6 linked regions of the Rattus norvegicus genome follow. The protein of the gene in region 6 interacts with the protein of the main gene of each other region in a pairwise test. Links are inferred from orthologs where the notes say so. Each region holds a gene or a part of one and is shown on either strand. Other genes may lie near its edges. The genes, in order: Clic1, Psmb8, Psmb5, Lsm2, Lsm4 and Lsm1.

Region 1 (4,148 bases), on a different chromosome or scaffold from region 6:
GCTCACGGGGGCTCCTGGTGCCCCAACCCTAGAATCTTCTGTAGGACCCAAACCCCTGACCCACAACACTCACTGTCATTGAGGGCCGGGTTTGAGTTCTTGATGTAGGCAGAAAACTTGGCAAATATGTCCAGCCCCGAGGTGTTGGATTCGGGGTTCAGAGCAGCCAACTTTGGGTACCTGGAAGGCAGAGGGATAAGGTGAAGTCCTTTCTGGGGGGGACTCTGCCCTAAGGCTGGCCACCTGCCTCCCCTCTTCAACTTTTGTTCCGAAAAGCCTCCCAGTTCCCCTTTTCTTTCCGAGTGTCCCCCGTACCTGGGAGGGCACAGCACGGCCTCCAGGAACTCCTCGATTTTGTTGGTATCTGTGTGCACTTCGGTGCCGTAGAGCAGGAACGGGAGCTGCCCACCGGGGCAAAGCTTCTGTACCGTCTCTGTCCGTCTGGAGAAGGGGCCACGTGTCAAGGAAGGAAAAGGGGGGACCAGAGACCTCGGGATGTAGGAGAAGTAGATTTGCTCCAGACAAGCGAGACAGGTTTAAGGTAGAAGGGGGTCACGTGGGTGCGCATGCGCATACGTGTGCACATGCGTCTACATAAGGGATGTTGAAAGGGGCAGGAGGGGGCCCACCTCTTGGTGTCCACGGTGGTAACGTTGAAGGTGACTCCCTTGAGCCACAGCACCATGAACAGTCTCTGGGAGAAGGGGCAGTTCCCAATCTTGGCGCCATCACTCCCAGCCTGAAAAGCAACGGCACCCCAGAGTTAGGCCTGGTGCACCTCATCCTTACCAGACCTGTTCTCTGAATCTCCTGCTAGTCCTGACAGACACTGCTAAGACGTCTAAGCCACCCCCAGGGCCGAATTATTTTCCCCTTTGGGCCTGGATCAGCAAAGGTAGGCGCCGGTGGCATCCCAGTGATTGACAGGGGGGAGGAGGCAGAGGAACAGTTAAGTCTTGGCTAGCTTTGAGAATCAGGATCCAAAAGGTGGAGAATAGGGTACTTGGTGGGGCTGGAATTGAATACTAGATCTTCTCCAGTGGAGCAGAGAGGTAGGGCAGGGTTTGGAAACCGGGTCCCCATTCTCTAAACCTCTATTCAAGCTGTTTCTGGAAGCTGGGCTGGTGAGCCAGAGGACCTAACCTCACCTTAGCGATATGGAGGGCCTAACAAAGGGGGCAACTCTCTAATTGGATGCAGGTGACCTCATCCCCCAAGGGACACCTCCCCCTAGACTGAGGGTGATTCATTTCTGTGTCTTCAGGCCTCAGCAGCTTCCTTCCCGGCAAGGAAGTGGGGGCAGGGATCTGTACTCACAGAGGCCTAGGCAGCTACTGACACCCTTCCAGTTCCCCAAATCCTCACTCTTCTCGTTCTTTGATTCTCTGAGATCCTCCTCACAGGACACAGGGCCAACATCTCCACAGCATCACCTCACTCAGGGTAAAAATAGCCCCTGGAGGCGAGTGTGAGGTGGGGACCACACCTAAGGGGCGGACCTAGGCTCCAGTTCTCTTCCCAGGGCCAAGAAACTGGGAAAGGCTGCCAGGGAAAACCCAGAGGGGAAAAAAAAGCATAGAGATAAACAGGACACCCAACACACAGACAAGACGAACCAGGAGTGCAAAGGGAGGCGGAGAAGCAAAAGGGGGTGCGAATGTGCACCCACTGGGAGGAGACCTGCCCGGAGAGGAAGGGACCGCATGGGGGTATGGGGAAGGGTGATGCCGGAGTGGCCGGGCCTGGGCAGAGGAGGAGAGCTGCAGCCACCGGTTTCTGAACCCAAAAGCCCAGGACCATCTCTCCTTGACCACACCCACGGAGAGGATGGCATGAAGGAGGAGGGCAGTGTGGGGGGGTGCTTTTTCTTCCATACCCATCAGCCCCGGTATTTTAATCTAACCCAAGGAGTCTCCTGTCCCCTTTGGAGCTCTCCTCTCTTCCTAAGTAACTATGGCTAAACTTTAATCTCCTTCCTGCCTCACAGTCTCTAGCCTCCCTTAGCTGGAGGGGTGGGTGGGGGGATAGTCATCTCAGCCATTGATTGTGCTGCTTCGTGAAGGCTCTTTGCTTCCACTCTGCGACACACTCATCCTTCAACCCTTCTAGATTCTCTCTCTCTCTCTCTCTCTCTCTCTCTGTCCCATCTTTCTTTCTTTCATAGGGCCACACGTCCTAGCCGATTCTTCTTCTTGAACCCCACCTCTGTCCCTTTCTCGGTCCTTCAGTCGTCTGCACCCCCCCCCGAACCCCGCACCGTACCCCATTCACTCTCTCACTTCTGAAAACCCCATTTCTTCACCTTTCTCTCCTTTAAGCTGCTGGAAACCTCTTCCATAAACTTTTCAGAGAGTCTGGAACTCTCATTACCGTCTCACAAGTCACCCCCACCTCCCAGCAAAACAGCGCCAGGGCTAGGGGTGGGGTCAACTAGGAAGGGGTTGGGGAGTTAGAGCTGGAGCCCAGGAGAGGGGAGGATTGGCTTGCAGAAATTCTGAGAGTGGCCAAAGAAAGAGAAGGTGTTCTTACCTTCACGAACAATTCGACCTGAGGTTGTTCTTCAGCCATGGTTGCGTCGGGGACCAGGAAGCAGCCGTCGCTGGGGGAACTGGGAGGGGCCCGGGCAAGGGAAGGCGGGTCTCACGGCCCGGGATTCTCTCCTCCAGACTCAGAGCTGTCCCTTCGGCGCAACCTAAGTCCGATCAGACCCTTTAGTTCTCTCCAACGCGGCTTACCCACCGGCTCAGTGCACCCCACACCCAGCTGCTCCACCTCGTTCCCTCCCGTTTAGCTCAGGGAGCAGCTGACTCACCGACCGGCCCCGCCCTGGACTTGGGGAGGGGACATGTGGGGAGGGGACTCGGTGATCGTGGGAGTGGGTCCGGGACAGAGGGCAGAGGTCTCGGGGATCTCAGGGATAAAGTGTTAGGAGGGAGGTCCCGGGGCTCCCTCGATGCCCTGACCATTCCTAAGCACAGCACCACGTTTGTGCCTCAGTTTCCTCGCTTCTTTAATGAGAAGGGTGGCCACGTTCAAACAGGGAAACTTGACACTAGCGAACTGGCCCCCTCCGTCCCCCACGAGGGTGCAGAAAGGGAGTCTGAGGATGCAAGGGTTCTGCGTTCTTTTCACTTCCAGTCTTGTCTTCGGGTTTGCTGGGAGGGACTGTGCTCTGTATGTGTGGAGGGGGATTGGGAAGGAGTTAGTGAGGTTAGGAATACGGATGGGTGAAGGGCACTCGTAGGCACAGGCCGGGAGAGACCAGGAGGCCTGATGCTGGCGAAACAGGAAGCAGAGCCCAGGCTCCACGGCAGGGGGCGGTCCTCTGAAAGCCTGTCAACGCTTAGACTTCCCTAGCCTGGGCCCCTTACCCTCCTCTCAGTGGTGAAGGTTGCCTTGGAGACCTATCCTGATACTAGGATAGCACTGGGGCTCATCCTGGGGTGGGTGGGATGGCGACTGGTTCTGTCACAGGAAGTAAAAAGCAAAGGTCAGAGAGATTAGTGTGAGCAGAGTCAGGAAAAAGTAACTTTCCCCGGGAGGCTCGATTTTGGAGGTTCTATCCAACTGTAGTATAGAGATATAACTTGACTACCTATTTTTTTCCCCCACTTCGGTATCTTTTAATTACCCATGACTTTACGTCAAGCACGGGCAAATAAAAATACGGGACGCCTCGCGGATTTGTGTGACATCCTTGCCCAGGGGCCCTGCTGATCTCTGTAACGTTCCCGTTTTAGTGTTTGTGTTGCTGAAGTGAGAGCTCTATTACCACCAATTTTTAAAAATATCTAAAAACAGGTCTGCCAATGTCTAACCTCCACACTCTAAGTTTCTCTACTGTCCAACTACCTTTTTTTTCTACTCAGTCTAAAATATATATATATGTGTGTGTGTGTGTGTGTATACATGCATACACACATACTCATATATATGTGTCTGTATGCATATTATATATGTGTGCATATATATATATAATTTGAAGAAAAATATGCTGGACTTGGAACGACTGAGAAACAAAACTGGACTGAGAACTGAAAGAGACAAGGGGGGCTGAGGTGGAGTGATGCATGTAATGCTGGAACAGAAGTTAGTGGTTTCCTCTCGTGCTTCCTCTTCTGAGAGTGTTCTCCTCCCTGGGGGAAGGC
Region 2 (3,969 bases), on a different chromosome or scaffold from region 6:
GCCAGCTCCTCAGGGCCGGGAGGATGTCTGCCCAGCAGTGATCACAGAGTGGCCTCTCGGTACTTGTGCAGCAGGTCACTGACGTCAGTGCTCTCCACTTTCACCCAACCGTCTTTCTTCATGTGGTACACTGTGAGTGATTGAGAAAAGAACATGGCGTCAGGCCTTTCTTCAGCAAGCAGTGAGTCTCTGCCAGGATGATATGGTGTAAGCAGCAGTCCCTGACATGAGCATTAAGCACCCACACCCCGCGCCCCCACACACAGGCTGCAAACCTCTGTCTGGGACTTCAGTGTTCTCACATCTGACAATCTCTACTCGTCTCCCCCGAGTCTCCCAATCTGAGCTCACCCCCTTCTCCCAAGGGCTGGGGGAGCCGTGGCTTCCCCAGGTGCTGTGGGGAGCACCCGGCTCTTACTGTTGACAACTCCTCCAGAATAGCTGTCTCTGTGGGTAGCATAAACAATAGCTCTTCGGGCAAGGTCGTAGGCCTCCTCAGGACTGAGATCCTGCCGGTACCCACTGTCCATCACCCCGTAGGCATAGGTGTTCCCGCTGCCTGTGGAGAACATCTGTCCCGAGAGCCGAGTCCCATTGTCATCTACGTAATAAAGTCCCGGTCCCTAGAAGATGAGAAAACATACCGAGCTGACCTTGGAAATGGTTTATTGATCAGGTGTGACTTGCGGAGAGCGGGCAACCTAGTATCACCACCACAGAAACATTGGCGCACTTTAAGCGGGCTAGAGAGGATGGCTCAGCGGTTAAGAGCACTGACTGCTCTTCCAGAGTTCTGGAGGCTCGCAACCAGCTGTAATGGGATCTGATGCCCTCTTCTGGTGTGTCTGAAGACAACTACATACATAAAATAAATAAATAAATGTTTTTAAATAAAAACCTGTAACAATGTGTTTATTAGAAACAAAACAAAAGACAGGCCACACTTCAGTAAACGTCAAAACCTGGACCAAGCACAGGGGAGGGGAGGGCTCAATGGGTAAGAGACCTCTCACCCAGGCGGGCATAGGGGCAGGCCACCCACCTTCTTGTCCCAGCCGCAGATCATGCTGCCCATGGAGAGGCCCATACCCCGGTACTGCAGCATCATGTTGGAAAGTAGCTTGGAGGCTGCAGACACGGAGATGCGTTCCCCATTCCGCAGATAGTATAGCCTGTGGGGGGAGGAAGGAGGCCTCAGGGGTAGCAGGTGAGCATTCCTTCCCTCCCATAGAATGAGGGAGAAGGGATTGTAGAGGTGTGTGTTTGGAAGGTATGAACCCGTGCGACGTAAGAATAAAAAGAGATTTAGGATCTAGAAATCTCTGAACCACATTTTTAAAAAGCCTAGTGAATGGCACCATCCTTTCGGTTAAATAATTGCCAGATTATCTGGTTTATAAACAGGGACACAGGCTAGGGTTTGGGAGATTTTTTAATCACACAAAGGCTTTAAAAACCTTATGATCACCACAGCAGACCACCGAGTGGGTGTAGGGGACATGGGGGAGGGGCACCAAACAAATGATTAAAACCTGCCCACCTGCATTCCTTGGCCAACAGCCTCTCCCAGTACTGACAGTCGGCTGCACAACCAGACATGGTTCCAAGCAGGTAAGGGTTAATCTCGATCACCTTGTTCACCCTTATGGTAGCTGAAAGAGTTTTGAGATCCAAGAAATGAGCCCCAGCTCTCCCTGATGCACTCTAACTCAATGCCCGCTTAGGTGCAGGCCTTAAGCTCTGCTGAGAGGGCCTGGCCACCGGAGCACCGGGGACTCACCAATGTAACTTCCTGCGGAGGCCCTGGAGTCCACCGCCACGATGACTCCATGCTGGAACTTGAAGGCCAGCGTGGTTGTGCCGTGCGCCATTTCAATCTGAACCTTCCTTTCCTGGTCATCACCAAAGGACCTTAGGAATTCAGTGGGCTGAGAGAGGGAAGAGGCCTCAGTTCTAGGAGGCTCCCGGCAGGGTTTCGGGGTGAGGAGGGGTCCGCAGACCCTAGAGGGCAATGTCTCAGAAGAAGGGAAAGCAGGATCTAAGCCAGCTTTCTGCCTTCGGGAACACGGGAGCAAAGGCCATGGTAGCCGACTTCAAGGTGTTTCCTGATCCGTGGCTCCTTCGGTTCTCGAAAAGCACATTTTAATAACGTATTCTCGTTTTACGGTAGAGGGGCTTGAGGCCTAGGCCACCTAACGTGTCCTAGGATACATAGGGAGGGTTGCTGAGGCCAGGTTAGCCTCTCAAGTTCATTGGTCTTCCAAGACAACTGTGCAGTCCCTGTAGTCGTTACTCGTGGGTCTGTGAAGGCATGGCGAGTTGTGCATGGTATCTTGGGGTGGGCACCAACCATCTTCTCAGTCTCTCTGTGGCTCCTCCATGTGTGTGTCTCTCTCCCTCTCTCCCTCCCCCACCCCTTTCTCATCCTCCCTCCTTCCAGCCTTCCCATGTTAACTAACTTCAGGGCTGGCCTGGATGCTGCTCTTCTGAACAGCCCCTCCATGCTTCCTCACCTCCTCAGACCCAGGCAGACAGTCCTTCCTACGTGCCGCCACCACCACCACCCACCCCCTGCATCTCTCAAGAACCCCTACAGTCCTCACCTGCATTCCCCGGGGAAGCGCGAGCTCCGGAGCTTGCACGGAGAAACTGTAGTGTCCCGGGTCCGAGCGAAGCCCGCTTCCTGCATCCACGGCAGCCCACTCGGGCCGCTGCCCCCGAGGAGCGCCGCACAGATCCAGTAACGCCATGACGACTTAGCCCCGGAGATCCGTCGACTCTCGGACAAGGAAGTGAAAGCGAAAGCCACAGCACCAAGAGGAGGGAACCAGTCCCCCACCCCCAACCCCTGCCCTTTCCGAGTAGAGCCCAATTAACGGGTGTCTGAACTAAAAATATGTTAGGGACAAGTTTTCCTGATGCCACGTCGATGAAAACCAGCTAGAGAGTGGGCTGTGGGATAAAAGAAGAGGTGCGCCTTCGGAGGCCACCTAGCAGTGGGGTACTTGAGGACTCACAGTCGGGGCGAGGGGCATCTTCTGGGAACAGCTGAGGACTGGATAGGGTCCTGTCACCTTAAAGAGGTTCTCTAGAAAGTTGGAACCCAAGAGAAGCATTGAGCAGATTCACCTAGGCGTGCGTCCTGGGGATGGGGGCAGCACTTAAATGAGCATCGTTTTATAGAAACTGGAAAATGCGATAAATAGTTGCACGGGGTCTTTAAGTCCTGAGACGACCAGGGGAAAAAAAATGGGGAAGGACGAACCAAGGAGAGGGCACAGTTCGGGTCTTTCTATGTGTCCTTTCTAGGGCCCCTCTCGGTCCAACAGTCTCACTACCCTGAGGCAACCCACGTGGACGCTCCCTTCTCCCTGGGCTGTTCACGTCGCGCAAGTCAGAGCTGAGCGCTCCTTCCTTGAATCCTAAACCCCACCTCTCTTTCCAACCTTTGCGGACCTTATCTGCCCAGCAACTGCTGACGTCACGCCACCGGGCCCTCCCTGTATGGAAGAGATTTACTGGCTAATCCTTTCCGTTTCATTAAGATTACTCCGGCGTGTGCGGCTGAGGAGAAGGTGAGAGGTTCAGAAAAATCAGAGCCAGCGAGGTAATCCAGTCTGGAGTTCTGGAGTCCCCCACCCCCACCCCCACCCCGCTGCGCTGCCGCGCCTCCTCCAGCCTCAGCGAGGAAGAGAGGGGCTCCTAGATGCAGCTGCTGATGCCTTGGAGTGCGGGGACAGAGGGGCTGCCGCCTGGTCCTGCTCAGCACTAGGAGTCGGTGGGTGGGTAGGGAAGAGAAATGAGAGCGCCAGGAAGATGATGGACCCGGCAGTAAAACAGAATTCTGAAGAAGAACGGGACACTGGGCTGTGTGTGGGGAAGGGTGCTGGCTAACTCATCGAGCAGTTTGTGGGAGCTAAGAAACAGGAGAAACCACGGTACAAAACACCAGTTTTATTATAAATATCG
Region 3 (4,086 bases), on a different chromosome or scaffold from region 6:
ACCATCCCTCCTGTTCACACCACTCATCTCTCCTCACAGCATGTAAACCATCCCTCCTGTTCACACCACTCATCTCTCCTCACAGCATGTAAACCATCCCTCCTGTTCACACCACTCATCTCTCCTCACAGCATGTAAACCAACCCTCCTGTTCACACCACCCATCTCTCCTCACAGCACATAAACCATCCCTCCTGTTCACACCACTCATCTCTCCTCACAGCATGTAAACCATCCCTCCTGTTCTCTTGGCAACTCCAAAAGGCAAGTATGCTGGATAATTCAAGCACAGAACTTCAGGAATGGTGGGAGATAACACTTAAAATATAACCCCAGGGTTGCGATAGTTGTCTCCTTTTAGGTCAAAGAAGAAACAGAACAGAAATGGCAACTCCATAGCTGAGCATTGTCGCCTGTGGCTACCAACTGCATGAAACTGACATCAACACTTAAAATGGTGCTACTGCCAAATACTGAGAAATAATTTGGGTATTTCATAAAAAAAAAAAAAAAATCAACTAATAAATCAAGCCCACTAGTTATATCTACTTCTGAGATACAATGTCTCTGTGTGCTTCAGGCTGTTCTACTGCTATATAGCTTAGGCTGGCCTCGAACTCTTGACCCTCCTGCTTCAACCTCCCTAGTGGTCTACGATCACAGAGCATGTAGTTGTCGACTACCACCAGGCTTGATGTCCTGAGCCGGATCCACAGAACAAGAGAACCAACTCCCACAAGTGATCCTCTGAACTGCATGTATGCTCTGTCCACGCAGACACTATAAACTAACAAATAAATAATAACTTAAAAATTTAAAAAACGGGGCTGGAGGATGGCCCCAAGGCCACTCTCGCCGAGGACCTGGGTTTGAGTCTGAGCACCACACGTGGCTCACATCCCTCTGTGACTATATTCTACCCCTGGAATTCCCTCTTCTGGTCTCTTCAGGCACCAGGCATACACATGGTGAGCAGACAAAACATCCATGCATATAAAAGGAAACAATTCATGAGAATTTCTTTTTCTTTTTTTTGTTTTAGAGACAGGGTTTCTCTGTCCTTGACTCTCCCTCTGTAAACCAGGCTGGCCTCGAACTCAGAGAGCCACATGCCTCTGCCTCCTGAGTACTGGATAACCACGGCCTGGCTACTCATGAGAAATATTAAAATAATGTGGGTAGCTCATAATTTGTCCTGTCAAAAAATGCTAGCTAGTTTATCGATCAATTTAATTCTCAAGTACAAATGTTTTCTTGTCCTTATTATTGTACGGGAAAGGAGGAGAACGGTCGCGCAGACATTATACTAATTGCTTTCTATGTACCGCACTTAACCATGGTGATGGTTTACTCAACCAATTGACAGATGAAGAAACAGGCTAAGGATAAAGGTTACCTCAGCAGTCAGTGACACAGCAAGTCTGACTCCCTGTCCTTTGCTATACAATGCCTTCCTTGGAAAGGGAGGAAGGGCTAAGAACACTTCCATCCTCCGCACCCATTAAAAGCCCTCAATGCGTCGATCCGTTCAACCCCTCCAACCGTGGTGTCAAGGATCACAGGACCACAGCACAACTCACCCGGGCCTCTCTTATCCCAGCCACAGATCATGGTGCCCATGGACAGCCCCATGCCTTTGTACTGATACACCATGTTGGCAAGCAGTTTGGAGGCCGCCGCGACCGAGATGCGTTCCTTGTTGCGAAGCTCATAGATTCGACACTGTCGAGCCAACAACCGCTCCCAGAAGCTGCAATCCGCTGCACCCCCAGCCATGGTGCCCAGAAGGTAAGGGTTGATCTCTATCACTTTCTTCACTGTCTGGGAAGCAATGTAGGCACCTGCGGTGGCCCGGGAATCCGCTGCAACAATGACTCCATGCTGAAACTAATTAAGGTCAAGAAAAAAAGAGGCCACATAAGACCACAAATACTCCCAATACTTATTTTTGTATAAATACAGAAAGATAATCTGGCTTGGCATCCCTTTAGTTTTACAATCGACTTCATATATTAGATGTTATTTGGGTTTAAGAGCAATCCCTGATTTAGCACTGGTTGCTCTTCAAAGCTTCCGTTCCCAGTGCTCACAAAGGTCTGTAACTCCTGTTCCAAGGAATTCGATGCCCTCTTTTGGCGCCCCTGCGAGCACTACACACGTGGTGAATATACATAAAGGCAAAACACAAAAATAAGAATAAATCTTTAAAGACTGGCCTAAGATCCAGAGCCAGTTATTGCAGAGCTGGAACAGGGACCCTAACTGTTTGGCACTCACTGCAATAGTCCCTGGACTTCATCAAGCTCCCCGGAGGGGACTCCAAGTTTATAAAAAGCTTGGGAGAACAGCGATAATAGCTTTCTTTCCCTCCACCACGGTCCGCTGTTACTGTTCCCAGATAGGGCGCCTGAGTTGGGGTTGCCTAGGAGTCAACCCACGCTGTCCGTCTCCTTCCCTCACTGCTCCCCATCCCCGCCCACCACCCCTTTCTCAAAGTTTTGAGACAGTGAAACCGCTAAGGATCGGGATGAGAGGACCGAACCTCCGCCCGACTCGCTGAGATGCCGGAGAATTGCGAGCTGTCTGAGTACCTTGAAGGCCAGGGTGGTGGTTCCATGAAGCATTTCGATTCGTGGCTCCTCCGGGACACCCCAGCTCGGCGCGGCTAGGCTCAGCCCATCACCAGGACTCCCCGGACCCAAGTCCAGCAGATCTGCACGACCTCCGAGTCCAAAAAACCCGTGCTGATTCACCGGCATCGGCCGCTGCAACACGCTGGCCAGCGCCATGTTTAGCAAGGGCAACAGGAACTGCCTCCGAGAACACCGCCAAAGAACGGACGGGCAACGCCGCGACGTCACAGCTTCACGCCCAGTTAAGTATGCGGAGGAGGCGCCATTTTTACTCCGGGCAACCACTCCTCCAAATACCAGCGCCCGACTGTTTTCAGCTAGGAAGGGCGAAGGAGAACGCTAAATGGTTAAGATTGTCATTTTTACTTTGGTGTCGAAGCAGTACGGCTAAGATTAACTTCAAATTCCTAGAGAGTGGTTGGAACGTTCACGTCGAGTGAGGGAAGCGAGTTCGGCCATCTTTGAGAAGGGCGTGACTGCTTGAGAATCTAAGCTGGATTCTGGATTCACCGCCCAAGGCCCAGGTTCAGGTTATAAGCAGCGTCCCTATTTCTGAAAACCCAGTTAAGGAGACTGTAGTCGTTTTCTTTAAGGCCACTCATGGTAATACTGGCTAAAATAACTGTTTTCAGGGCATTTCCCCATGGTTTTAATTCAGCCGCAATAGTGTGGTCAACAACAAAAACCCCACCCCCTCTTTTTTTGATAGCATTTATATACCATAGTTTGGGTTTTGTTGTTGTGGCTTTTTGGTTTTTGGTTTTTGGTTTTTTAAAGATGGGCGTACGATTGTTCTTAAATTCACTAGGTAGATAGCCCAGGCTACCCTCTAACTGGCCAGGTTTTCCTGCCTTATTTCAGACTAACGAGACAGCAGGCCTGAGCCACACACCAGATTTTTGTTTTGTTGTTTCTTTTTAAGATTTATGGGGTTGGGGATTTAGCTCAGTGGTAGAGCGCTTGCCTAGCAAGCACAAGGCCCTGGGTTCGGTCCCCAGCTCTGAGTGGGGGGGGTGGGGGAGAGCATCAGCTGCTCTTCCAAATATCCTGAGTTCAATTCCCAGCAGCAACCATACGGTGGCTCACAACCATCTATAATGAGTTCTGATGTCCTCTTTTGGCATGCAGGAGTACATACAGATAGAGCACTCATATACATAAAGTAAACACATAAGCGCAGGGCCTTGCGCTTCCTAGGCAAGCGCTCTACCACTGAGCTAAATCCCCAACCCCTGCAGCTGATGCTCTTAACCACTGAGCCATTACTCAAACTCCCTTGTTTGTTTGTTTGTTTGTTTGTTTGTTTTTTGAAAAATAGTCTCCATATATAGTCATGGCTTGAGCTGGAATTTACTGTGTAGACCAAGCTGGCCTCAAACTGGGCCCCTCACGCCTGGTCTGGCTCCAGAGCACTGGGATTAAAGATGGCTCACCACTGTAGAGTTACTTTCTA
Region 4 (4,300 bases), on a different chromosome or scaffold from region 6:
GGGAGCAAAGAGGAGAGAAGCATTCATTTATGCTGGAATCAGCAGAGGGAAAATCAGAACTACAGTGACAAGGGGGGAGGAACTCTAGGCCCTGAAGCCAGCAGGCAGCCCCTGTAAGTTCTGAGGTGGAAATGATAAAGCACCTCAGACTCAGTCTGTCCTCACACCAACACATCAGAAGCTCGTAGTCAGGCCGGGCCTATGCTCCATTTAATATTAGTATTTCCACTTTAAGACAGGTTCTCACTTGGCCCAGGCTGGCCTCCAACTTCTGGCATTCCTACCTCCACTTCTGAAGTTCTAGAACTACAGCTAGGAGCACTACTCATGGCCATTGCCCACTGGGTTTCCCTGTGGGGTTCTAGAACTAGCTCTGTAGATAAGGCAGGCTTCAAACTCCCCCCTGCCCCTGCCCTTGCCCCTGCCTCCTGAGGGCTAGGTTTAAAGGTTTAAGGGATGAACAGCCATCAACCACTCAGCTAATCACCTTTCAAAGTAGTATCATCCAGGACTTATGAGAGGTCATGTAAGGTACCAAAACTTACACAAATGAACTGGAATGTCAGCCCTGATCTGCACGACTCCCAGAAACATCCATTATTTTTAAATACTGATTTTTACTATTTGTGTGTATGTGCATGTAGTTACCCACAGAGACCAGAAGAGGGCATCAGATCCATTGAAGCCAGAGTTCTAAGGAGTTGTATTCAGCCCAACAAACTGTTGTCAATCACCTAATGTAGCTGCCGGGAACTGAACTCTATTTCTCTGGAAGAGCAGCAAGCTCTTTTTAAAGCACCAAGCCATCTCTGCAGCTCCAATAGCTGTTACTTGTAAACATTTATGCTTTGGAGCCAGAGACCTACATATACATGGCAGCTGAAATTAACTATTATTAATGCTACACTCCCCCACCCTCTAGTCCTGAGTACAGTTATCAAAGCCACTGCTCCCACACCATGTTACCCATCTTATATTTACCCACTGCACGGAGGTGCAGAGGAATTAAAATTTTAATTAACAACCCCAGATCCTGCATTTTACTTCTTCACTCTCTACATTCTACGAACCCCCACTGCTCTGTGGAAGAACACTTGTGTGGTCTGACTTTTAGACTAGAAAAAGTCTTAGCTACTCTCCACCCCGGCCTGGGCCAGCCTCTCACTTGCCCACACTGGCCATAACCATCCTGCTTGTCAACACCACGTTCTGTCTTAGAATCAAGGCTCTCAAGCACTGACCTGTGCTCAAAGGTTTCAAGAGTCTACAAATAAAAGGATTTTAAAAAGAAACACGAGGGCTGGAAATGAAGTTCACCTGTTGAGCATGCCCATCCAGTACATGAAAAAAAAAATAGACATCAGTGACACCTATAATTTTCTAAGCACTATTAAGAAAGTAGACTCTAGAATTAGGGATTTAGCTCAGTGGTAGAGCGCTTGCCTAGCAAGCGCAAGGCCCTGGGTTCAGTACCCAGCCCCGAACAAAAGAAAAGAAAAAAGAAAGAAAGAAAGAAAGAAAGAAAGAAAGAAAGAAAGAAAGAAAGTAAGTAGACTCTAGGGGCTGGAGAGATGGCTCAATGGTTAAGAGCACTGACTGCTCTTCCAGAGGTCCAGAGTTCAATCCCAGCAACCACATGGTGGCTCACAACCAACTATAATGAGATCTGATGCCCTCTTTTGGTGTTTCTGAAGTCAGCTACAATGTACTTATGTATAATAAACAAACAAACAAACAAAAAAAGAAAGTAGACTCTAATGGATGATGTGACAAGAAGCCATAAACATCTTTCCAGTGATACAGCATTTAATCCACTCCTGAATGGTTAAGAGCAAATGATACAGCAGGGCAAATCCTAGCACTCAGGAGACAGAGGCAGGCGGATCTGTGTGTTCCGGGACATCCAGGACTGCACATACATGTTACTTAACTGTATCTCACTGTGTAACTCTGGCTGGCCCTGGACATATGTAGACCAAACTGTCCTTGAATTCACAATTCTGCATCAGCGTTGGGATTACACGCATGTGCCACAGCACCAGGCTCACTCTTAAACTAATCTTTACACTCAAGACACAAGATATTTCTTCTGTGTTTTGCCCCTCTGCTCTAAAATAGCTTTGTGAACAACAACCACGAAAACGATCAGGACACCAGGCACCTCCCACCTTCCACCAACTCGCTGAAATAAAGACCTACCTCAGATCATTCTTGAGTTCCACGACTACATCCTTGCCCACAAGGGACTTGAAAAAGGAGTAGAAGAGCTATTGGAAAAGAGGGAGGAACTATCACATGAAAAGGGACAGGGAGGAGGAACCCGTGACGGCATTTGAAATACCAGTCCTTTTGGCCCCACCTAGTAGTTCTCAAAATTTCACCACCATCAACAATCCGTTAACAGAGACTGCAATTCCTGGGGCCACAGAGAGACAATAACTGCGCTGCACCCCTCGATGCCAGAACCCACTCTCCGAATCGACCACCTCCCTGCTCGAGACCGCTTCCCAACCGCACCCTCACAAAATCCTGATCTCCAGCACGGAAATGCAAGACTAGCTTTCCGTTCTCCCCCGGCGCCCGTGGGCTTTCTCTTGGACTTGCTGGAAGTTTCCCCAAAAAAACCATTGGTTCCAAGCAGTCTCCTCACACAGGGTGTGGGCCCTGAGGTTGTAAGGAAAACCCTAGGGCTTAGCTACAGCCCAAGGCAACAAACACTAGAGCGCAACCAAGACCCGAACAGTTCGAACCGCCCGCCGCGGGCGGCGGCGCTCCCTTTTGACGTCACGGTACCCACCATGGTGCTGGCGCCACGAGGGGCGGCCTGGACCGCGAAGGAAGGCGCCGGGGACTGCGGGCCGGAGGCAGGGCGGGAGCCGGAGCACGAGCCCGCGCGTGAGGCAGGACAGGATCACGCAGGCGCAAGGGGAACCGCGAAAACCGCGGCTGAATCTGGGCTCAAAGGGAGCGGAGTAGGGCAGAGCAGAGAGGACCGCCAAACCGGGAGGAGGGCGGGACTTCCTGTCTCCCACTTCCTCCCAAGGAACTCCTCCCTCCCGAGCGCGTGCGTGGGCCATAGCAGCTGCGCGTTGGATGTAGTTCGCCTCCCTGATAATTTTTTAGATTCTTCTCTGTGCCGGGTGACTTGCTCATACTCTACGCTTTCTACTGAGAATTATTGGGAAGATTGAGAAAATTATGACTTGCATATTCTTTTAAAAAAGATTGAGTTATTATATATAAGTACATTGTAGCTGTCTTCTGACACACCAGGAGAGGGCATCAGATCCCATTACAGATGGTTGTGAGCCACCGTGTGGTTTCTGGGATTTGAACACAGGACCTCTGGAAGAGCAGTCAGTGCTCTTAACCGCTGAGCCATCTCTCCAGCCGTATTATTTTTACTAGTAATTAAATGGGAAGTTGCTAGGTTATAGCTTCTGTAGATATCATGTCTGGATAAATAGGAAAACACTTGCTATTTTGTCTTCTCGAGGCTGGCTGTTGGTGCAAGGCAGTCATGGTACACAGGTGAGAATTCTGAGAGACTAGGCCTGCTGATTGCATGATACCAAAAAAGTCGGTTTCCTGGGGGTCTGGGTGAAGCTTGGAGCATGCCTGCCTGTGTAGGCCAGAGATGAATGCTGGCTGTTCTTTCCACTTACTTAATATTTTAAAATTTTATATGTGTGAGTTTTTCCTTGCACGTATATCTGTGTACCACATGTGCAGTGTTCCCAGACACTAAAAGAGTGTGTTGGATCCTCTGGAGTTATAGTTGTTAGCCACCATACGGGTGCTGGGAATCAAACCCTGGTCCTGCCGAAGAGCAACATATGTCCTTAACGACTTAGCCATCTCATTTTCTGAGACAGGATCTGCCACTGATCCTGGAATGGACAGGTTCATTCAGCTAGACTGACTTGCCAGCAAGACCCTAAGATGTGTCTTCCCTCTCTGTCCTACCTACCCCACTCCACCTGTGCACATCACTGTGTTCAGAGCTGGATCCATCATGATTACCAAGCAAGATGTTACCGAGTTTCAACAGAAACTTTAACACCTGAATCTAAAAGAGGCTGTCACTGGTTAGAAGCAGTCAGTACATTTAGCAGCTGCTTCCTATGGGCTCAGGGTGCCTGAGAATTAGAAAATATTTTTCCTGGCAGGTGTAACGTTCTGTAATTCCAGTCATGTAGGCAGCATGAACGAAAGACATTTGAGGCAGACCTGCCTCAAAACCAAAAAAAAAATTGTTGGATATGCTCAACTTACACAAATTCAAGTACTTTGCCCTTAT
Region 5 (2,920 bases), about 54 Mb from region 6:
TTCCAACAGCATCTTCTGCTCCCTCTGGGAACCAGGTATGCATGTGCTGGGGACACACACAGATGGACACACACAGATGGACACACACACACACACACACGCACACAGTCTCTCTCTCACTTGCACTCACACACGTCCCATGGTGTGTTCTCCCTAGGTGCACTTTCCCTGCAGTGTGCTGGGTTTACTCAGGGTCAGAGCTGTTCTGCTTGCTGGAGCAGCCTGCCAGCCGTGGCCTTAACCTCCCACACTCTTGCCTGTCCCCGAGGGTCAGCCATCACAGGCTTGGCTTTTTAAGGGCTTTGTAGCCCCAGCTGGCCTAAAACTTCTGGCTCTCCTACCTCTCTGCCCTCTAAAAGTGTTGTCTGCTGCACTCTCACCTCTGCTGGCAGGACACACAGACAGCCCCACACCCAGGGAACAGCTTCCTCTGGTGAGACAACCGTGCTCAGGGATTAGGACTGTAAGTCGGGTCCGTGTAACCAGAGGGATGGCTGGCTCCTTCTGTGGTGTTTGCCTTTATTTTTTCCAACAGAAAACGTAGGGGGTGGGGCTGGGAAAGGACAGGTAAACCACCATGTGCGGAGCCTGCAGCTCCAACATGAAACTCAAACAAGCCTGGAAGAAGCCAGCCCTTCAAAGGACATCCAAGGCTTAACAGTCAACTCAGACTGGGAACCTTCCAGAAACTGAGTAAGTGGCCAGTCAGGGATTTCACTGGATCAGACGCCAAGTGGGGCTTCACGCAAAGGCGCCCGGAGGTCTCCTCACCCACCTTCCTGGACTCAGTTCAGGCTGGGACTGCTCACTGCTTGCCTGCCTGCCGCCCTGGCTTCTTCTCCGGCTGGCCTCGGCCTGCACCAGGGATGCCACCCCGGCCCCGGCCACCAAACACACCTGCACAGGACAGAAGAGGTAGAGTAGACACCAGCTTCCCTGGGCAGGGACAAGGATCTTCCCTTCTATGCCCTACGCCACTGTGCAAGGGGCCTGTGGGAGATGCCAGGTTATACTCAACCTGGGAAAAGAGCCCTCCCCTCCCCAGCCCAACAGGAGCCCACACCACTATGTCCTCCATGGAGACTGTACAGGGTGCAGAGAGGAGAGTGTCCAGGTATCCCTCCCTTCCCCACCTCGCCCTCATCGTGACCCTACCTCTGCCAGCGCCACCCATGCCTCGGCCTTTCTGCTGCTTCTGCTGCTGCGGTCCTCCTCGCCCTCGGCCCTTGGCGGCCTCTTCCCTCACCATGTCAATGATCTCATCCGGGATACGCAGGTACTTGATGGTGCTGCCTCGGATGTAGCACTCGGGCATCCTCCAGAACTTGTCACCGTCCTGTGGAGAGGGGAAGTGTCACAGGCAGGCACAGTCCATCCAGGCCAGCCATGCACCTTCCCAGCGTAACCACTCACCCTCGATGTGCAGATCACTTCTCGAAGGTTGATGTTCATCCAGTTGTCGCAGCTCACCAGGTGCCCGTTGTAGGTCTCCCCATTCTTCAGCTCCACCAGCTGCAGGAGATCCCGTCAGCCTAGGCCAAGCAGCCAGGGCTCAAACACACCCGGCTTCACATCCCAAACTACAGCTTTCTGTGCAACTAATCAACCTTTGAGGCTGGGCTGTCATTCACCTGCAAGTGCTGTGATGAGCAGGCACCACCCAGGTTCCCTACCTAGTGTGTGGACAGAGACAATTAAAACTCCACACTAGGTAGGCATGGCGACACACACCTGTGATTCCAGGACTCTGGTGGCTGTGACAGGAGGATAGTGAGGGGACAATGGGCAAGCCCAGTCTGGTCACCTATAGGAAGAATATTACACAGCCAAGAAAAGGATGACTCAAAACCTCTGAGTGACACGGAGCCAGCCACACGCTCCTCACTCAGAAATGTTCACAAGATGCAAAGGCAGGTGCAGAGGGTAGGTGGTCACAGGACACAAGCAGCCAGGGCTTGGGGTGAACTTGACATGGGTGCTGACAGGTGTAAGGCTAGGCTCTGGCTGTGTGAAGTCTAGGGACACACTGCCTATCAGAGGCAGCGCTCCTGTGGTTCCTCCAGTCCCGTAGCATTCAGGGCCAAGTCTTGGCTACGCAGCCATACTGCTGCTCCTTTTCAAAAAAAAAAAAATGGTTCAACCAGTGGCAATCCTCCTGCTGCAGCCTCCCAGGCAGCTGGGATGACAGGTGACCTGTCTGTGCTGGGGACTCTTGGGATGGGACAGGGAATACATGGGTTGCACTGTGCCCCAGTTTCTTCCTGACACTACTTTTAAAAGATTTTCCTTAGACATTTTACTTTGTATTGCATTTCTGTCTGTGTGCAGAGAGGGAAGCCATGACTCCCTTCCACCATCGTGTGAGTCCTGGGGATTGAATTCAGGTCCTGCAGCTTGGCAGCAGGCACCTCTACCCACTGAGCCATCGTACCAGGCTTCAAGCGTAAACTGCAAAGGACTAGGGTGAGGGCACATGAAGGGAGGTGGCCCAGAGTAGCCTTGCTTACCATGGGGTGATTCTGGGCTGTCTTCAGCAGCGACAAGGGAAGCTGGAAGGCAAATGTCAGTGTGAGGAGTGTCCCCCAATTCAGGGACAACCTGGGCATGGCTACCCAATGCACACGGCTGTGTGACCTCGCATCATCCCATTCTACAGGTGTTGGCCACCTGGACATCCCGGACCATTTTGGTCATTTCTCCACAACTCCTGTCACCTAGAAACACAGAAGGGGGCACAGTCCAATGTGTGGAGGTAGCAACCTGGTAGGTTTTCTGAGGCAGAGCCTTGTCATACAGCCTATGCTGGCCACAGCCTTCTGAATGCCCAGGGCTGCACACCTGCCTGGCATTTCTGCTCCACACCCTGTACCTGTGCGTCCAAAAGGGATGATTTGAGTCCCCCGGGTCCCAGGTGGGAAGG
Region 6 (3,500 bases):
TCATGAGGCCAGGTAAGCATTCTAGTTTGGTCCAATGCATTCAATTTCTCTAGTAATTTAGCTTAAAAAAATTTATTTAAGTTTTTTTTTTTTTTTTTTTTTTTTTTTTGACCAGAGTTTCTCTGTGTAGCCCTGGATAGCATAGACCTTTCTTTGTAGACCAGGCTGGCCTTTGCCTCCCAAATGCTAGGATTAAAGGCATGTATCACCATGCTTGAATTAATTATTTGGTTTAATAAAAATACTACTTCATTTTTCTTACTTCAAAAATATACACTGGGGAAGGGGGGTGGTTGGGGAGAGGGAACACCCTTATAGAAGGGGGAGAGGGGTGGGGGATTATGGACAGGAAACCAGGAATGGGAATAACATTTGAAATGTAACTAAAAAATATCCAATAAAAAATACATACTGTAGGAAAGTTATACTACAGACACTTTAAAATTACAACTCTTGTATAGAAAGAACACAAATACTTTGATGAATGTTGTAAGATTTTCAGATGTAGGCCAGTCTATGTGTTATCAGAAGCACTGACTCTATGTATCTTCTGGAACTGTGTTTTTAAATGTTGTGTGTCTTTGCATGTGTGAAGATGTAAGGACAGCTTGGTGGAGTCTGTCTGCTTCTTCCACAGTCACTTGAGTTATGGGACTTCAAAGCTCTGATTGTCAGCCTTGCACCATCTTCCAGGCCTAAGAACTGTTTTGTTCTATGGGATCACCCAGAGCAAGGGATCACCCAGAGCATGGGATCACCCAGAGCATGGGATCACCCAGAGCATGGGTGTGCAGGCAAGCATTCTGCTGCGTAGCTGTATTGTCAAACCAGGCACATCTATGACTTAGAACCAAACCAAATTCATAATGAAAATAGTGACTACATTTTCTTTTCATCTAACACAGAATATAATTAGTATTAATGTCATAAATATTTAATAGCCAACTTTGTATGTAGAACTATATACGAGCCTCATTATCTGTTTACCCTTAAAATGTATAGGTATTATTTATATTTCTATAACATAAAAAACCTATACAAAGTAGCAAAGTATGGCTGGGCTCTCCCCAAATAAGCCCAGACACGCTCTTGTTTCCTCAGCAAAAGCTGTCCTAGAATTCCCTCTGTAGCCCAGGCTGCCCTCACACTGTTCTCTGCTAGTGAACACGGGATTACAGGTGTGCCACTGCAGCAGGCTATCTATATTCCTGTTTCTGTTCCTGTGTTGGATTTTTTTTAAAGATTTATTTTTATTTTAGGTATGTGAGTACACTGCCGCTGTCTTGGCATCAGATCTCATTACAGATGGTTGTGAGCCACCATGTGGTTGCTGGGAATTGAACTCAGGACCTCTGGAAGAGCAGTCGGTGCTCTTAACTGCTGAGCCATCTCTCCAGCCCGAAGGATTTCTTTTCTAAGGATTTTGTTTTATTGTTTGTTTATGTGTATAGGGTGTACCTGCAGGGGCTAGGCAGGGGTTCAGACAGTCTAGAGCTGGAGTTACAGTCAGTGATGAGATGCCCTGTGTGCGAACTGGGAATGGTTTGGTTCTCTAAAACAGCAGCAAGCACTCAATTACTGAACCATCTCTCCAGCTCCTGTAATGACTTTTGATGAGAAGGTTTAGAAAGACACTCATCAAAAACCTCTGCCCATGCTTCGGTCTGGATGCTAACTGACACATGCACGCCTCCAAGGTTGCAGAGCTCAGCACTTGTGGTATCAGCTGGAGGACTCTGACCAGATTAGAAGCCACGCAAGTTGCATAAGTCACCTGGGTCAAAAGTTATCTGCTAAACTATATAATCACCCAACCCTCTCCTGGATGAAGAAAAGCCAGTGTTCTTAGCTCTCTTCCTAGTTTTCAGTGTGTCACTCACTGAGTGACTCATTCCCGTGACTGGGATCCTCCATCATCAAGGCAGAATCCAGGCACCTCTTTTTTTCTTTTTGGAATTAAGGTCTTGCCCAGGCTGGCCATAAACTTGAGATCTTCCTACCTCAGCCCCCATGCCACCATGGGGTACCATTAGAGACTACTTATGCAATACAATGTTTTTCTAAATAGATTCTGGCTATGGTTCTGAGCTTTAGTACATAATTTCTTCAGACTGATTCACATAATCATCTTTTTAAGAAGAATGTTTACGTGCAACCTGTTCATGCTTAGAACCTACAGATGGCATCAGAACCCTCAAAGCTTAAGTTACTGATGACTGTAAGTCACCATGTGGCTGCTGGGAAGTTAACCCATGTTCTCTGCAAGAGCAGCAAGTGCTCTGAACTGCGAGCCTCTTTCTAGCCCCACCACGAAACTATTTTAAAGTGAGGCATTAATACAGTTTACAGCATTAAAGTGAGGGGTTAATACAGTTTACAGCATTAAAGTGAGGCATTAATACAGTTTACAGCAGTACTTGGGTGGTACTGCAAGTTCATGCACATCAACAAGTAAAGGCCGACACAGGGCGTCTTTACCTTGTTCTCTCAGTTTTTGAGTCAAGGAACCTGAACTCTTGGTGTGTGCTAGACTGGCTGGCCTCTGAGGTCACAGAGCTGTCTGTTTTCACTTTCCCGTGCTGCGATTACAGCCTTGGACACCATGCCGGGCTCTGAGTGCTGGGGATCCAAGCTCAGGCTCTCATGGTTGTACAGCAAACTGCCATCTGCCTAGCCCAGTGTGTTGGAGACAGGGACTCATGCAGGCCAAGCTGAATTCAGTCACTACACATGTGTGCTGCCCCTGCACCGGCCATGTTAATCTCTGTGCTGTTCACATCTTAGTATGTGTGCTACACCAGCAATGTTGTTTTCTATTGGGTGAAGCCAGTAACATTTACTAGTGAGATCAAATCTTTAAAACGCCAAAGGCCACAGACTAACGTTAATTACCTTCTTCAGTGTTGCTCTAGCAACTACAGCTTCCCTACTTGGTGGCTTCCTGTGAGAAAATGTGGTGAAATTGGAAAGCAGCAGCCAGCATCAGTGCCCAGATCCACAGCAGTTTAACAGTCTCACTTACTATTTCTCCTAGTAGGACCACATTTTCTCCTCTGACCACGAAAATCCCTCGAGGAATATCACCGTACTTTCTGCCCACGTGAATTCGCTCCACAGTCTGATGGAGCACTAGGTTAGCTATAAGCATAAAAGAAGAAACAGATATTCAGTTCATATTGTTGACTATAAAGGTCTATAACTCAATTACTTAGTTGTTTTTTTTTTAATTTCAGCAATAAGCCATTTATGAAAATTTGGTTTCTTTTTTGGGGGGCTAAGGGGCAGCGTCCTACTCTAGCCTCAGCAGGCCTGGAAATCATGATATAATCCAGGCCTTCCCAGCATTTGTGGTGATTCTCCTGCTTCAACTTCTTATACATGCTGAGATTGCAGGCATGTTCAGTTTTAGGAGACTTTCAGACAAGGAAAGAGTCTTTCTGACTATGTTTTGCTAATGAGTGACTGATGGTAGGAATAAGTTACTTCTGTATCATTTCACT

Evidence for each region.
Region 1: the proteins of Lsm1 (region 6) and Clic1 interact in binary tests that used the Homo sapiens proteins (3 or more experiments, as listed by UniProt). The link is inferred for Rattus norvegicus from reciprocal best matches to the Homo sapiens genes LSM1 and CLIC1.
Region 2: the proteins of Lsm1 (region 6) and Psmb8 interact in binary tests that used the Homo sapiens proteins (3 or more experiments, as listed by UniProt). The link is inferred for Rattus norvegicus from reciprocal best matches to the Homo sapiens genes LSM1 and PSMB8.
Region 3: the proteins of Lsm1 (region 6) and Psmb5 interact in binary tests that used the Homo sapiens proteins (3 or more experiments, as listed by UniProt). The link is inferred for Rattus norvegicus from reciprocal best matches to the Homo sapiens genes LSM1 and PSMB5.
Region 4: the proteins of Lsm1 (region 6) and Lsm2 interact in binary tests that used the Homo sapiens proteins (3 or more experiments, as listed by UniProt). The link is inferred for Rattus norvegicus from reciprocal best matches to the Homo sapiens genes LSM1 and LSM2.
Region 5: the proteins of Lsm1 (region 6) and Lsm4 interact in binary tests that used the Homo sapiens proteins (3 or more experiments, as listed by UniProt). The link is inferred for Rattus norvegicus from reciprocal best matches to the Homo sapiens genes LSM1 and LSM4.

What each region holds. Positions count from the first base shown.
Region 1 is NC_086038.1:3,775,568-3,779,715, forward strand, and holds the start of Clic1 (chloride intracellular channel protein 1), read right to left. Parts: upstream 2,801-4,148; 5' UTR 2,569-2,800; coding exon 2,530-2,568; intron 740-2,529; coding exon 630-739; intron 442-629; coding exon 316-441; intron 181-315; coding exon 74-180; intron 1-73. UniProt on the Homo sapiens protein: In the soluble state, catalyzes glutaredoxin-like thiol disulfide exchange reactions with reduced glutathione as electron donor. Reduces selenite and dehydroascorbate and may act as an antioxidant during oxidative stress response.
Region 2 is NC_086038.1:4,654,232-4,658,200, forward strand, and holds the start of Psmb8 (proteasome subunit beta type-8), read right to left. Parts: upstream 2,801-3,969; 5' UTR 2,751-2,800; coding exon 2,604-2,750; intron 1,929-2,603; coding exon 1,781-1,928; intron 1,653-1,780; coding exon 1,541-1,652; intron 1,173-1,540; coding exon 1,043-1,172; intron 856-1,042; coding exon of another isoform or gene 673-855; exon of another isoform or gene 650-672; intron 624-649; coding exon 419-623; intron 131-418; coding exon 42-130; 3' UTR 1-41. UniProt on the Homo sapiens protein: The proteasome is a multicatalytic proteinase complex which is characterized by its ability to cleave peptides with Arg, Phe, Tyr, Leu, and Glu adjacent to the leaving group at neutral or slightly basic pH.
Region 3 is NC_086033.1:32,044,580-32,048,665, forward strand, and holds the start of Psmb5 (proteasome subunit beta type-5), read right to left. Parts: upstream 2,801-4,086; 5' UTR 2,790-2,800; coding exon 2,592-2,789; intron 1,888-2,591; coding exon 1,581-1,887; intron 1-1,580. UniProt on the Homo sapiens protein: Component of the 20S core proteasome complex involved in the proteolytic degradation of most intracellular proteins. This complex plays numerous essential roles within the cell by associating with different regulatory particles.
Region 4 is NC_086038.1:3,848,866-3,853,165, forward strand, and holds the start of Lsm2 (U6 snRNA-associated Sm-like protein LSm2), read right to left. Parts: upstream 2,801-4,300; coding exon 2,798-2,800; intron 2,629-2,797; coding exon of another isoform or gene 2,518-2,628; intron 2,268-2,517; coding exon 2,200-2,267; intron 1-2,199. UniProt on the Homo sapiens protein: Plays a role in pre-mRNA splicing as component of the U4/U6-U5 tri-snRNP complex that is involved in spliceosome assembly, and as component of the precatalytic spliceosome (spliceosome B complex).
Region 5 is NC_086034.1:18,788,967-18,791,886, forward strand, and holds the end of Lsm4 (U6 snRNA-associated Sm-like protein LSm4), read right to left. Parts: intron 2,550-2,920; coding exon 2,508-2,549; intron 2,114-2,507; coding exon of another isoform or gene 2,034-2,113; exon of another isoform or gene 1,540-2,033; intron 1,533-1,539; exon of another isoform or gene 1,513-1,532; coding exon 1,414-1,512; intron 1,337-1,413; coding exon 1,156-1,336; intron 898-1,155; coding exon 806-897; 3' UTR 501-805; downstream 1-500. UniProt on the Homo sapiens protein: Plays a role in pre-mRNA splicing as component of the U4/U6-U5 tri-snRNP complex that is involved in spliceosome assembly, and as component of the precatalytic spliceosome (spliceosome B complex).
Region 6 is NC_086034.1:72,981,582-72,985,081, forward strand, and holds part of Lsm1 (U6 snRNA-associated Sm-like protein LSm1), read right to left. Parts: intron 3,139-3,500; coding exon 3,023-3,138; intron 1-3,022. UniProt on the Homo sapiens protein: Plays a role in the degradation of histone mRNAs, the only eukaryotic mRNAs that are not polyadenylated. Probably also part of an LSm subunits-containing complex involved in the general process of mRNA degradation.